Linked DNA regions of Lonchura striata. The protein of the gene in region 2 purifies or fractionates together with the protein of the main gene of each other region. This does not show direct contact. Links are inferred from orthologs where the notes say so. Each region holds a gene or a part of one and is shown on either strand. Other genes may lie near its edges.

What was found. The genes of interacting proteins can lie anywhere in the genome.
Region 1: the proteins of PAK1 (region 2) and GIT2 purify together in Homo sapiens (affinity purification with mass spectrometry; 5 studies listed by BioGRID and IntAct, with this or other methods). This does not show direct contact. The link is inferred for Lonchura striata from reciprocal best matches to the Homo sapiens genes PAK1 and GIT2.

The regions. Positions count from the first base shown.
Region 1 is NC_134620.1:11,019,079-11,026,929, forward strand, and holds the start of GIT2 (ARF GTPase-activating protein GIT2), read left to right. Parts: upstream 1-4,840; 5' UTR 4,841-4,899; coding exon 4,900-4,951; intron 4,952-7,851. Other genes in the region: ANKRD13A (ankyrin repeat domain-containing protein 13A), read right to left, coding at 277-420, 1,050-1,095, 1,541-1,665, 1,777-1,909, 3,943-4,038. UniProt on the Homo sapiens protein: GTPase-activating protein for ADP ribosylation factor family members, including ARF1.
Region 2 is NC_134604.1:32,382,776-32,390,524, forward strand, and holds the start of PAK1 (serine/threonine-protein kinase PAK 1), read right to left. Parts: upstream 3,009-7,749; 5' UTR 2,772-3,008; intron 2,249-2,771; exon of another isoform or gene 2,071-2,248; intron 1,643-2,070; exon of another isoform or gene 1,422-1,642; intron 1,340-1,421; exon of another isoform or gene 705-1,339; intron 699-704; exon of another isoform or gene 522-698; intron 1-521. UniProt on the Homo sapiens protein: Protein kinase involved in intracellular signaling pathways downstream of integrins and receptor-type kinases that plays an important role in cytoskeleton dynamics, in cell adhesion, migration, proliferation, apoptosis, mitosis, and in vesicle-mediated transport processes.

The DNA of each region.
Region 1 (7,851 bases), on a different chromosome or scaffold from region 2:
TGGAGATGGAACTAAAATTATTTTTTATACGCAGGGCAGCAGAAAAGAAGGAGGGAAACAGTAAAATACTGACATTTTACCCCATCACCAAATTTTTACCTCAGATTTACTCAAAGCAAAGAAGTTACACCATCATAAAACAGTATCTCTGCGAAACACAAACATAAGCATAAAACCTTCATAATGCACAGAGGCTTTTTTTGTGTAAAATCAGGATTTCTCACTGTGCTCATACAGTGTTTGGGGGCCAGTGGTGCAGACAGGTGAACTCTTTACCTTCTCCCTTGAAGATGACAGTCCTCCTGCCCCTCTCCCAGCTCATGTTCTCGAAGCCCAGCAAGGTGATGTCCACACGCAGCTTGGCCCGGCTCTTCCAGATGCGGCAAACATCGCTCGGGCACACCCTGGAAACCAGGGGCACTGGGAGAAATGGGAGAAATGCAAAGGGAAAATGTGCAAGAGGTGCAGCACTGAGGAAATTAGTTCAAGCACAGGGATTGCTCACTCCTGGGAATGTCATTCCAGAGGAGGTGAGATACTGATCATCTTCAGCTTTAAGAACAACCAGCTTAGGGGAAAACCGGCCTAATTTAAAGATGAATATGGAAAGGAAGAAGATATTTGTTTGGACTGCAAGGTTTGAAATGGCATAAACCCCATGCCTGGTCGTCTAATATTTGATATTTGATATATTTAATCAGCTGTGAGACCTAATGTTCATTCCTTTCAGGGAAAAGCAGGTACTTCCTCAAACAACCAGTGAATCCATAGATGACACACGATCAGTTGTGGATGGCCAGGGACAGGTAAAAAAAAACCCAAGAAAAGTCTCCAGGCAACAGCAACAACAGCTAAATTCTCCACTACCAAAACCCAACCAACCAGACACACAGGAAACAAAGAATAATTGTGCAACAAAAGCACAAGAGGTCATTTTGAGATGGAGAAGAGGAAGATTGCAGGGAGCGGATATCTCCCTGCCTGCACTGTGGGACATTTCTAACTCATTTTTACAGCTTGAAATTGGTAACAAGGAGCAGGATCCTTACCCCAGCTAGTGAACTCCCATTTCATTTCCACATAAAAGTCAGGAGTCTGCAGAAGGAAAACACCTGATGAGTACTTCATGAAATAGTTTGACAGTCAGTGCAGCATTTCCTGTGAACATTTTAGATAAAGGAAAAAAAAAAAAAGAGAGCAAAACTGGAGAAATGATTAGCCAATGCTAAAACTGAAATTGAAAGTTGCAAACACAACAGGCACTGCCCTGCCCCTGCTGCTTTCTGGGGAGCTGTTCTTCCTTGTTTTACTGGAGAGGCAGCAGTGCCTTCAAAATTCAGCCTCCAATGCTGGAGTACATGACAAAGGATTTAAATAAAGTCAAGGAAAAGCCTCCATGTCCTTCAGGACTACGGAATATGCAGGTTGGAACAAAACACAATTACCCAGCTGATTGCAATAGTTAACTGAACTACTTGAATGAGTATTCAAGCAGAGATTTCAGTCTAGAATGAGAGTTTACACTTCAATAAATCCTTACCTCGTTAATCTTCTGCAGTAACTCGGGAACTCCTCCGAGGGTCATGGAGGTCTGCTGGTAGTCCCGATGCTGCAGGATCAGCTGGACCATCTCTGGATCCCCTGTGCTGACAGCCTCATGCAAAACTGAAAGAAAGCCAGCCACAGCCTCGTGTCACTTTGCTTGCTGACCAAAATTCCATATAAAAACACAGAACAGCTGCTACTGAAAGACTGACACCCCAGGTTGTTCCTTACCCGTCCATCCCTGCGCGTTCTCCTTGGTCACATCTGCCTTGTGCTGCAGGAGGACCTTGGCAGATTCGATGTAACCCAAGGAAACAGCCAAGTGCAGCAAGGTCCTGCCCCGTGGATCCCGCTGGTCAACATCCTGTCAGTGTCCAAGAGAGAGTAACAGAGCTCATCAGAGCCTGCACAAACACAGGGCTCATCCAGGAGTCAGCATTCCCTGCCATTCCCATGGATCCACTCCCAAACTCTCCTGCACCGCCCTTCTGCGGGGCTGCCTTGCTTCCCCACGTGAATAAAAGGAGAAGCAGAACGGGGCCTATGAAATGACACAAAATCTGTAGGACAGGAGTTCTTGTTGATGCTTTTCATTGCTTTTTCTGTCATTATTTCCCCTCTGGCTCCCCCCAGAAGGCTCAGGAGGAGTTCTGTCCGTGTGCATCACCCCACGGACAGCCAAGAGCCTGAGACCCCACAGAGAGTTTAAACTGTACAACAAAATGGGGGGGAAAGGGGAAAAAAAAGGCAACAGGACATACAACACGGCTTTTGGACAGCACTTTTGGAAAGGACAGAAGCAGATGGTGTTTCACAAAGCACACACACAGCACAATGAGGAGTGAGGGCATTCTCTGCAAGTCACTAAAGTAAAAAATAAACTACACAGGCACAAATATCCAAAACATGCAAGCACAACATACTCATACCTTACACATTTTTCACTATTAGCTTAGAGATTTGAAACAGAAGAGCATCTATAACTAAAGGAAAAGGGGAAAGTCAATAGCAGAATGAGAAAGGAAGGTTATTATGCACGTTAACAGCGTTATCTGACAGCTTCAAGTCAGAATATCTCACAGAGAGTGGGAAAGCTTCACTTTAAAGCATCTTCACTTCTGGGGTGGAACATTAATTAATTTGTTTCTCCACCTCCTGCAGCTCTAAAGAGCTCCAAGGGTCCCTCCCCACTGTTTGTTGCTGTTCCCTGGTCCCCACATGCCCCACCCCATTTGCCACTCCAGCCACAGCTGGGAAGTGCCTTTGATTCCTTCACAGGTCCCTCCAGCAGCAGGAAGCTCATCCCAAAGCAGCAGGGGGAACCAGATCTTTGGAATACTTAAAAAAAAAAAAAAAAAAAAGAAAAAAAAGGTGTTTAAAAGCAGGTAAAGGAAGAGACACAGTCCATCTTCACACGCTGCTGGCTTCCACAGGGAATGGAGGGAGGAAGCAGCATTCCACAGGTGGGAGCTGCTGAGTGATCCCTATTTAACCATAAACTCTCACAGATGTCAGAAGTAAACACACAGGAGCAACGTGCCAGTGAGGTTAAAGATTTTGTTAAGGCATAAGGTGATATAAATGAGGTAAAAAGTGACTGCATTCCAAAGATTCTCCCAAACCAGGGCAGGAACATGCTCTAAGCAGGAATTAGTAAGTCAGGTGCACCGTTAGAGCTGCAGGTGACAGGAGGTGGCACAGCCGGTCTTGGGCTCACGTACTTGTGGTGTCAGGTATAATTAATTAATCAGCTCTGCTCATTAACTGTACCTCGCTCTAGCCCGTCAGAGCTTTTGCACAGCAGCTCAGCCAGGAGGATTTTTGCTGCTCAAGCTCTGCTGCAGCTTTCAGGCTGTTTCCTTACGTCATCATGTCCCAGAGAGGGGACAGCTTTGTGTTTGCTGCTCTCCAGCACTAAACAATGATCCATTTCTATTTTTTTTTTTTTTTACCAGAGATGCTGAAAACATTCCAACCCATATAAAAACTCTGTCCTCATTCTTGGGCAGCGACAAACCTGTAAGAACTGATGGTGCTCAGCAAAGTGAGGGCTTGGTTTGATGTCCAGTAGCACCAGCTACCTTTGCTGCACGTTGACTTCCCATTAAGACAAACACTATTTATTGCTTTAATAAATAAATTAATATCCATCACAGCTGCCCTCCTTGAGCTCTCCCCTAAAGAGCAACGCTCAGAGCAAAGCTTTACAGATGGGAAGCCAACGTTTAGTATCTGACATAAAAATATATTCCCACACCTTCTCGCATCACTCCCACACCACAAATAAACAGGTAACCGAGTGCAGGGATCCCTCAAGCAGCGCCACCAGGGTGATCCTCCCTGGCACAGCAGCGAGCCAGGGCCAGCAGCCCCCCAGCAGCCCCCGAGCCCCGGTACCTGGTCCCGCAGCTCCTCGTCCAGCCGCCGGTAGTCGTTATTCCACACCAGGACGTGCAGGGGGAAGGCGCTGCCGGCCCCGCCGGGGGAGCTCATCCCAGCACACACCTGCGAGCCGGGGGGGACCCTCACTCTCTCCTCTCTGGATGCTCCCACGTCACTCAAGCCCTGAGCCCTTCAGCTTCTGGTCTCTGCGGGCACCCACCTGGCCCAGGTGTGCGTGTGCGGGCCACGACCCCCCAGGAACCGTTCAGCCCTCTCCGAAGGGAGCCCCATGCAAAACCCCAGCGCGGGGGTCTCCCCTGCTGCTGCTGGTGCCCCTGGCAGCCCCCGGGTCTCCTCCCGGAGTCCGCTCGGCGCCGCTCCCGGGCTCGCCCCGCTCCCCCTCAGCCGTCCCGGCCCCTCTTCCCCGTCCCTCCGGGGACGGCTGGCACCGACCACAGCGCGCCCGGAGCAGGGGGGTTTCCTCGCGGTGCCCCGCACTCCTACCGCCACCGACAACCGCACGGAAAGCGGAAGCCGCTCCCCCTCCCCCTCTGAGGGCGGACGGATGGAACGTCCCGCCCGCAGCTGTCCCATTGCCTTCCCCGCATGGGGTGCGCTCACCGCTCTCACCCCGCCTTCGCCCGGCCTTGGTTTGGCTCGCCCGCCCGCCATGGCGGGTAAGGGCAGGGCTTGCTGCACAGCGGCCTCTCCCAGCAGGCTTCCGAAGCCACATCTCTCCCATAACCCCGCCGAGAGGGCGCAGCGGGCAGGCGGGCCCGGGCGGGAGCGCTCGGTGCCGCGCCGCTGAGCCGGAGCTCAGTTTGAAGGCAGGCCCCCGTGCCAGGAGTAAAGATGGCGGCACGGGCGACACGCGGAGCGGCAGAGGGGGTCTCGTCGCGCATGCGCGGGGCCGGCCCGGGGCTGGCGGGGCCCGTTACCGGCCCCGCTGCCGCCGCTGCCGCCGGTCCCGCGATGGCGAAGCGCCTGAGGAGCAGCGAGGTCTGCGCCGACTGCAGCGCTCAGGGTAGGCACCGCACCGCCAGCGGCACCGCGCGGGCTCGTCCCGCGGACCCCTCTGGAACCGGGGGCCGCGGGGGCGCCGCCGGCCCGGGGGCGTCCCCGCCCCGGAGCGCTGCACCTGTGATGGAGCGGGATGGTTTGGGTGGGAAGGCAGCTCAAAGCCCGTGGGCAGCGCGGCTTCCAGGAGCCCGGGCTGCTCCGACAGCGTCCAGCCTGGCCTGGGACACTTGCAGGGCTGGGATGGAACTCCGTGTCCGGGTGTCCGGCACCGCCGCCCCTCCCGAGCCCGGGGCACGCGGAGCTCCGGGAGCATCCCGGAGGGCTCCGGCGGCGGGAAGTGCGGAGCTCCCCAGCCTAGGAAGGAGGGAAGCTGACAGGAATCCACCTTCAGTCACGGGCAGGGCGTGGGTTGGGAATGTGTCACTGGAAAGGAGCAGGGCTGTTTTTGGGGGGCTGCGTTTTCACCCCTGTCCCTGTTCCCAGGGGCATTGGGGAGGTAAACTGGGATTTGTCCCACGGCCCACACTTCCAAGGAAAGTTGTGCTGAGGTGTCTGGAGATGCTCAGGGAGCAGGGTCTGCCTTGGGCTGGCGCGTATGCCGCTGCAGATCAGTTTGGGAGCATATGGAAGTGGAGGTGGTGTTCAGAAAAGCTGTTGCATCTCCTGACCGTCTGTAGTTCTGCAGCTCTTGTATCTAAAACTGTCCTGCTTTATTTTGTCAGCTCTGTCTGTGTCTTTTCTGGCTCTTTAGTTTTTGCTGTTTGTGTTCTGGGCAGGTTATGCACATAGTGAAATGAATTAAAACACTGATGTAATAATACCTTATTATTGTATGTGTAATATCAATGTCTGTGTAATGTAGATAACACTTGAATTGGCAGAAGATAGGATGTGGGAAAAGGGAGAACAACTTTTATTCAATCTGAGTTATGTTTTAAAAAATGATAAAAATTCCAAATGAACTTCCAGGAAGTGACATTCTTCTTTTTACAGAAGGAAGTCTTCCCTGTGAGGGTAGTGAGGCCCTGGCACAGGTTGCCCAGAGAAGTTGCTCCATCCCTGGAAGTGGCCAAGGCCAGGTTGGATGGGGTTGGGATAATGGAAGGTGTCCCTGCCCATGGTAGGGATTGGCACTGGGTGAGCTTTAAGCTCCCTCCAACCCAAACCAGTCTGGGATTCTGCTTGTACCCCTGTAGAAATTTGGTTTTACAATAAATGCAGCTGGCATCTCTCAGGCAGGTGATTGTCCCTATCTCACAAGGTAGCCTATCTATGCTTGCTCACATCAGGGGTGTTGTGAGTTGGAGATAAAGCTGTGTGAACTGTGTTCCTTAAGCTCCTTGGGGCATCAGAATCACTGTCTGGTAATCCTGTAATCCAGCCTTTATCGTGACATTAGAGCACTTCCAGCTCTTTACTTACTTACTAGAAACCCGCTGGCTTGTCCACATATATGAAGAAATCTTTACTTATTTATTAGAATCCAGTGGCTTATCTACATACATAAAGGAATCTTCATTTAATCTTTTGGTAAATAAAACAAATCAACCCTTTCCTTTAGCAAAACCAGAGGGTTTGTCCATGGCTGCGTGGGGCTGTGTCAGGAGACCTGGTGGCTGCAGCCTTTGCACCAGGGCGGGTGTGCCTGGCACCTGCATTAATTACTGCTTCCCCTGGAACCTCATCAATGCCCCTTTGTCTCTGCCAGGGCAGAGCGTGGAGGGTTTTCTTTGACTCTTACAGGAGCTCTTGTGCTGCACTTCCTATCCCGAGGCAGGAGCTCAGTTCTCAGACCCTGGGCCGGGTTTGTCTTCATCTCAAACTTCCTGTTTTGAACCACCCTGCAGGTTCCTGAAAGCGCCTGCCCGGCCCTGCAGCTTCTCCCCAATTGTCCTTTGTATCAAAACCAGCGTGGGCAGCAGGGCCAGGCTGTGACCACCCCTGAGCTGGACACTGAGGACCCTCAATTGCTTTGTCCAGCTCCGGGCCCCTCGCTCCAGGACAGATATGGAGGAGCTGGAGCATGTCCAGGAAAGGGAATGGAGATGGAGAAGGGGCAGCTAAAGGGGCTCAGCCTGGAGCAAAGGAGGCTCAGGAGGGACCTTGTGGCTCTGCACAACTCCTGACAGGATGGGACAGCCTGGGTGAGGGGCAGGCTCTGCTCCCAGGGAACAGGGACAGGAGAGAAGAAAGTGCATCAAACTGTGCCAGGGGAGGGTCAGGTTGGGCACCAGGAGGAATTTCCTCATGGAAGGGGTGGTCAGGGACTGGAAGGAGCTGCCCAGGGAGGTTTGGAGTCCCCATCCCTGGAGGTGTCCAAGGAAGAGCTGGACATGGCACTCAGTGCTCTGGGCTGGTGACAAGGGGATGATCAGTCACAGGTTGGACTCAGGGGTCTCTTTCAACCTCAGTGATTGTGGGATCCTGTGTATTTTGGTACTTGCTTGAACATATTCTGATCGAGTCCATAATTAGGTCTCTCTTAAAAATTACTCAAATTCCAGGACAGATACTTCATTGCATTAAATTTAAACCTGAAATATCCAAGGGTGTTTGGTGTTGAGGTGGAGATAAAGAAAACCCCCAGTGCTGACTGTTGATAATGCAGAGCAATGCTCACAAACAGCCTGGGAATGGGCAAGGGAAAGGATCCCTAAGAATCCCATCCATGTGTGATGAGGTTGTCTCTAACAAGAAGGAATCAGGCTCATTAATCTGGAAGGCTGCCTCAGTTTGGGTGATTAGGTTGCCATGAATGCATCTCACTCTATTGCTGTTCTTTTTCTTCATGGAAATCAAAATTGTTAAATAATGGAATGATTTAACAAGGAGTTCTAAGTGCTTGTTGTAATTTGTTCTTTAACAAATGGATTATTTTTTTGTCTCACCTGCTTTAATTTGGCT
Region 2 (7,749 bases):
GAAAAAGAAGAAAAGAAGCCATTCTGCAGTTCACAGTTATAAAAAGACAAGACACTAATCAGCAAACTGGTGAAATTCATGCATTGAAATCAAAGCTGAGAGAAAAGGTCTCCTTTCAGAGCCTGGAAAAGGATAATAAAACAGTTCTTTGACCTCTCCAGCAAAGAGAGCTAGCATCAGTTTTCAATCCAGCGCAAGAAAGGCAGTGAAAAACAAAATAAACAAGCAATATATTTCCACTTGTGGCACTTATATTGGACTTGTCACGTATTTCTTCCTATATCCCCATTATGCACAGAAATGCATGAACTAAAAACCTCACTTTTCCCTACTCTTTTTTTTTCTGAGCAACATCCAGAGCACACAGTATTCCTCAGAAACCGGTAAAAGCATTCTTGCTGTCATGCTACAAGAGCATTTTCTTCTTCAAGTTTATTTTTGGCTTTCATTTCCAAATCGAAAAATGGCAGTTATATCATCCCATTTAAAGATGCAGGACTCAAAAAGGCTAAAAAAATTACCTGGCAGTTTATTGTCCAGTCTTAGACTCCAGCTCTGTTATACAGTACAGCTGAGAACAAATTCTGTTCTGTGGCACAAGACAGGCAATCCAGAGTTAAATAGAATCAGTATTTAAACATATTCAAATTCCCACCATAGCTTCTGTTCCCTGTGCAGAGATGAGCTTCATTTCTCTGACTTACCCACAAAAAAAATGCACGGGAAAAAGCAGTCTCCAAGCATCCAGTGGACACACACGCAAACTGTTCCACAAGGAGGAGTTTTTCCAGCCTCACCCTATAAAGCTGAGAGCAAGACCAGCACACCCACACTAAGAGATATTGAAGCAGCGACAGGAAGATGCTCCCTGCTTGCCCAGGTAATGTGCAACACCAGGAAACTCCCAACTGTAGAGAAGGGGGAGGTGGTTCAGTGAAAGGCATCCATAAGTCACTGGGCAAAGAGTAATTGCGAGCAAAGAAAACAAACATTCTTCCCTCTGTGCCCGATCCAGCCATTTCACCCTGCTACAATACCTACTTTTACTTTGAAAATGAAAAGTGTGGCTAACTGAACAGATTTTATAGTTGTTCTCACACACATACACATCTCATACATAGTTACCACAGAAAGTACACGCCTTACAGCCAGTCCCAAGCAAAAGTCAGGTTTTGACACCTATTTATAAATCTTGCTCCAGAAGAAAAAAACTCCTGGAGGCAATGTTGAAATAAGAATCAAGTAATGCTCAGCAGGAGCAGATGCACCGTGACACACATACGGATGGAGCCAGCTATTCCCAACAATCATGAATTTTAAGCCCTCTGGATAACAAAAGCAGCAAGACCAGGGAGTGCAGGCGTGGGAGAGCTGTGGATTGGGGCATTTCCATGCACAGTGGAAGACAGAAGCGCTAGTACCTCTGAAATCCCGTCCTGCTGGTGCTGCCTTCTCTAGCGAGCTCCCAGGTGCATTCAAGAGCACCCAGAGGTGCCAGCCATCTCCGATGTCCCTTCACTGCCCCCCACTCCCCAGGCAGAAGCCCCTGCTTTGAAGAAGGCTGGATTGAGACCAGCTGACGTTCCCTCCAATCTGAATTATGCCGCGATCCCAAAGTTCAGCTTCGCTTTTAAGTACTTTACTAGGAAAAAAGTCACGGTTTCGTACACACATGCGGGCGGAGGGGTTAAAAGACAAGCTCCCACCTCTCCATCCCTCCTCCACCAGCCACACAAAGCCCGAGGCTTCATCAACCCATCGCCCAGCATGGGTCCAGCTCCTCAATTCTTTGTGTTTGCCCAAAGCGCCCGCCCCTCCAGCCGAAGGCAGGACGGGTGCTTGGCAAAAACTGTGGGCTGAGCGCCGATTTCACCCCAGCCTCTGCTCCGGGACCCCAAACATGCGGCCCCGAAGGGCTCCCCGCTCGCAAAGCCCGGCGGCTGAGAACAACTCCCTTTGTTAAATGAATGAGTCGGGGAGGCAGGGGGGGGAAGGCAGGGTCAGTACCCTCTTCTACGAGAAAATTTCAAAAGGAGGAGGGAAGAGAAGGGCTGAAGAAGAAGAACGCACCCGTCCGCTCAAGCCCTGCGCAAACTTCCCGGTTACAAAACAAGCGAGGAAATCCCCTTCCCCGGCGCGGCGGCACTCACCTTCCGCCCGCCGCAAGGTGCTGCCCGGTCTGCCCGGCCCCGCTGCCCACGCCGCCCTGCCGCGGCCGGCGCCGCCCCGCGCCCTGCCCGCCGTGCCGCGGCCATTGGCTCGGGGCCCGCCCGCAGCCCCCCTGCCGCCAAGGTGGGCAGCCGGGCCGCGGGGCGGGACGCAGCGGGGCGAGGGGCGGGGGCAGGTCCCTGCGCTTCGCTCGGCGGCGGAAAGTTGCTTTGGGAACGGGAGGTACCTGCGCGGCGCGGCGGGAGCCCGGAGCGCCCCGGCGCTGCCCCGGCGCTGCCCCGGGGCCGCGGGTGTGCTCCGGCCGCGCTGCGGCTGCGGGCGGCTCCCGGAGCCCGCGGCTCCGCCGGGCAGCGGCCGGCAGCGGCGCTGGCCTGCCTGGGACGCAGAAGTCTTTGGCGATCACGCCATCAGCGGGGAATCGCGGCAATCGCAGCAATCGCGAGCCGCGCTGCGCTGACTTTATTTCTGCCGCCCGTACCGCGCTGCGCTATCGCGGAGCCGGCTCCATTGTGCTGAGGTCTGTGTGCGTGCAGATCCAAAAAAGGCAAGAATAAAACGGGCTCTGCCCTGCCGCTGTGTTGCACAAGCCGAGGCGTCTATACCTTATATTGCCGGGATCCGGGTGTCCCCTCTCCCCGTGTTCCGCAGCTTGCTGGAAACTTGTCACCCTAGTTAACAGGAGTTTTCGGCTCAGCGCTTGTGCTGCGCCCGGAGGGAAAAAGAGGAGGGGTTTGGCTGCACGTACAGCGCCGGGCTCTCGAGAAGAGAGGTGAGGTGTTCTCGGGACGTGCTCTCCAGAGGTGGGAAGGTGAAATGTTGAAGTGAAGCAGGTAGTTACAGGCAAAAGGGAGACGAGCTTTATACCGAGACAGCACACGACAGATAAGACAGCGCTGCCACAGTCTCGCCCTTCCCCCTTGTCCAACATTTATCAGTTGCCGTGATAAGTTTGTTCAGGAGCTAAACCAACAGAAAATTACACACACAAATTAACATCGCAAAAGTAAACAAATGGAGGAAGCGAGAATTCGAGTCTGGGACTGATAGGGAGAGTGAGAATGCCACAAAGCTGATTTCAGTCAGCTGAACCTGCTGTGGAATTACGCACTTCGAAGCACTTTCCTCTGTTGGATACATTTAACATTGGGCTCAAATCCACACACACAGGCAGATCGCATGAGCTCCCTCAAGCATCCTCTGCTCGCAGTTTGGTTGCAACATAAAGGTTTTTCTGTAGTTCAGGGTAATATGTATCAGTCCCATCACTTCAAAGACAGGATCAGACTGTGTCAAGAATCCCAGAGATACATGGGAGCTTACTGGATTGCTGCTGGGGGGAGGGAATGAACTGAGGCAAAAGCCACGTAGCTCAATTTAAATTCTGGATCCATAAAGGGGGCTCCATGAAAGCTGGAGTTAAAACACAAGAGTTACCCTTTGACCCTGAACTGAGAGCTGAAGAGTGACTTCCTTTTTGTACCATGCTTGAAATATCAAAACCTTTTCAGAAACATGAGTGAATGCTGACAATATTTAAAAAAAAAAAATTTTGAAGCCAGACAAGAGAACAGCCCAAAATACTCCATAACCATGCCTGTTTGACGAGACATGTTACCAAATACATTCATTCAACCACATGGAGAATAGATAAGTCAGGAAATTGCAGTGGTTGACCTAAGGCCTGGTCCATATACACTGGGTGTACTGCACTCTTCTGAGCCCCGGAGAGGTCCATCTGGGGTGCTGTGACCAGTGCCAGGCTCCTCAGTCCAAGAGAAACATGGAGCTCCTGGAGTGGGGTTGTATAACTATAGTGTTTGCCCAAAGCACCCGCCCAAAGAGCTACAAATGTGATGAGGGGAAATGAGCATCTCCCTTATGAGGAAAACTGAGTGAGCTGGCCACGCTCAGCCTTGAGAAGAGACAGCTGAGAGGGGACAATCAATACACAGGTTAACTCAGTTCAAAGGAATCTCACCAAAACGTAAAGAATCCTTACATTTTGCTATTTTCCTATTCTGTAGTAATGTGAAATCCTAATGAAATATCCAGGAATTACAATACTTAGAGTTTTCTGAATTTACCCAAAGTTCAAGATTCATTTGTGCAAAATTGCTGCTTGATATTTCAGAGGGAGTTCCTAAATGAAAGGAGGAAGATGTCCATGAACAGCGTAAGAACAGGATAGAAAGCTACCACTGCAAACCAGAATTTGGTACTTCAGAAAGGAATGAGTGAAATGTAAATCTTTTTATTTGCATTTCTAAGCACTCACAGCTAAGTGTTCAGGGGTTTTCAGGCAAAGGAACCATCCTGCCTTGCACTCAGGTTCAAATCAAATGCCCCTTTTCTAATATGGAGGAAACAGGGGATTTCTTATACCTCAAAAGGGTCTCCTGTGTTCTGTGGGAAGAAGCCTGGCACCAGACCCCAGCCTCAAAGACCAACTCTGTCGAACAATCAGTTTTACAGCAATCACATAAGAGCTGTGTTTGCCTCCCCTTCAGACACACAGCAGAACAAGCAGTACACTGCCGTGGGGCACAGCCTGACGATTCCTTCTCTGTCAGCAGCACCAGTATCAATAGTTCTTACTCTGCTGTGCAGCTCCGTTCCTGAGCTACTCCCTGCACTGTGCCAACACAGCTATTTGTGCAGCTATGTAATGGAAGGGATCAAATAACTGGTCCATCTAGGATTTTCCTAGGTGTTTTTACTCAGATCAAATCCCCAAATACCTTGGCTGATATGATGCAGGAGGAACACAAGAGCATATAAATTCACAGGAGATGAAGCTGAGCTGAGGGACAGTAACTTGTTAGGATGTGCCCACTTAGTCACCTGCGTTAACCTGTCCACTCAATTAATCTGCTTAAGCAAACAGAGACAAATTGGACTCAGCCTACATGGAAGAAAACAGAGTTCATGAACGACCTGAAGACTGACTGCAGGTCTCTAGATTTTAATAGTAGGGAAAGGAAAAAGACAAAAAAAATAGAGTCCTATAGTTATGCAACACAAAATTAAGAAGTTCCTCAGCTATATATCATACTGTGAAGATGAAGAAATAGCAAGCACCAGCAAGCAAAACTGAAGGTGGTGGTGAGTCGGCACAGTACTATCTGGAGGTTTCTCACACAGTAAATAAGAAGTCAATCCAGCAAAGTAGTGTTGTTATAGTGGTGTGAAATGAAGAAGAGAGACTAAGATTCATCACTGCCCTACATATCATATAAGTTTGTACAGCACTGAAAAATGTATGTAAAACACTTTCAAATCACAACTATTTCCTTTTCATTTTGTCCAGATAATGCAGTACACTAAAGCAGTGAGGAATGTGTTTCTGGACACAAATCTATGATGCAGAAATGTTTTTGCTAAATAAACACACCAAAGCACGACAGCAGCAATCTTTCATTTCCTTAGTAAATTTTAGGGAGTTTTAGTGCCAGAAAAGCAAAGTAAAAGCTAAAAAAAGCCCAGAACACCTGACTAGCACAGAGTAGCATCTGGTTCCTATCTTATATATCTTGATGTTAGATGGTATGTAATACTCATCCTAACAGAAGTTAAAATCATTTCCAAAATGTATAGAAATACCACATTACCATTGATGCATATTTAACATGGACATGCACCTCCTACCATCCCGTAGAAAGGTTTGTTATGATTTCTTTGCCCTAGAATGAGTTCAAATACAGGAGTAAGAACCAGGGTCACCATTTTAGAAAAGCTGGCTCTGGGTTACACTTTTTTGATCTTAGAACTGAAGTGAAAATCCAGTTTATGCAAAAACATGTCTCAGTAATTGACTATATGCAGTTGTTTCACTCCAGATAAGTGGTTAAGGCATCGTAATGTACACGTTCCCACTTGCCACTCAGTCTTCCATTTCTGTACTGAGAAGCTCACAGTAAAGGTTTAGGATCTGTCTGGTACAGTTATAACAGTACTTACAACTTGGTGGGGTTTTCTTTCATTTGGTTTTTGGTTTTTGTTGTTGTTGTTTTGGTTTGGGTTTTTTTGTTTGTTTGTTTTTTTGATACCTAAATCCCAGATAATTCTGGTTCTTCTTATGGGTTACTGACTTTTTGGTTAAGTTACCTTATATTTGGTTGAAACCTCAGAGCAACCTTCATGCCATTCAAATTTTAAATAATCTCTTACCGCTTCATTGAAGTCCTGGAATCTTGCAAAACCTCTGGTGATGAATACACTTTTACATTCCAGATCTCCTTTTGCCAGGAAATTGCACAGAGACAGCTAAGAGCACTCAGTGCTTTGGTGAGCAATCAGCAAGTCAGGGAATATTAGGGAAGCCACAAATGACTGTTTGATTCTGGAAGCCTTGTGTATCTCTGGAAGTCATAAAATACAGATGGGCAATGGCTTAACAGTGAGGTCAGTCTTTGATTCATTAGCTAACAGCTGAATTTAAGCATATATATCCAAATTTTGAGGCATGCTGCTAATTCAAGCTTAAAAGCAAGGGGGAAGTTTTACCCTGCACTGTGAGTTTCTCTGGAGTGTACAGAATCCTGGCTTTGGCTTAGGTTTTACATGTTCTCTCAATGATCTTAATAGTTCAGGTTTTGGAAAAATATTACTAAGCACTGGTAATCTTAGGCAAAAAACATATTTAAGTGCTGTAAGCTCTTCTTTGTGGATTGAGGTATAAACTTCAAACACACTGGGTCAGTCACTGGGGCTATAAGAATTCACACCACAGACTGACTGTATGTAAATCCTACATTATGCAAAAGAATCTGTGGAGATGAGTGCCCTGACAGAGGAGCCTCTTTTCAGATATTACAAACAGTACTGATGTGCTCCAAAACCAGAAATTTGGTTCAGAATTTTGTCTTTCAATCTCCCAACTGCACTTATAGCTATGGTTCCCTACATCAAACTTCCCTCTGCCTGCACTCTAAAATTAAACACCCATCCCTGCCTGCCCCTATTTTTCTCCACCTGTATCAAGGAACATCTACTCATTCCTACTTCCTCTCCTTTCCCCTTCCTCCCACCTCCCAGCCTTATTTAATCATTCACCTGACTTTGAAAGTCCCCTTCCTCCCTGATCCCACCAGCCAGCCTAAGCCAAGGATGTGAACACTCTTTTAGGGATCTATGTTGACTGAAAATTATCCTAGAATGGTTAGGGTGGGAAGGGACCTTTAAGACCATTTTGTCCCAACTCCCCTGCCATGGGCAGGGATATCTTCCACTAGACCAGGTTGCTCAAAGCCCCAACCAACCTGGCCTCAAACACTTCCAAGGGATGGGGCATCCACTGCTTCTCTGGGCATCCCATTCCAGTGCTCCACCACTTTTGCAGTGAAGAATCATGGCAGCAGCTCTGCTTTACAAAACACAGGCAGCAGCAAACAAAGAACGAGGCACCCAGGGAGAGCAAGAGGGGCACTGCTGAGAGGGAGGGGAGGGAAGGGGGAGGTTGTAAACACTGCTCATTCACTTGGGCCTTTGGAGCATGAAGGAATTGCTGTTAGTGAAGGAAGTGTGGAAAGTAGCACAGTAATGGCAGGCAGGCAAACATCTCAAGCACGACAGCCTGTCTCC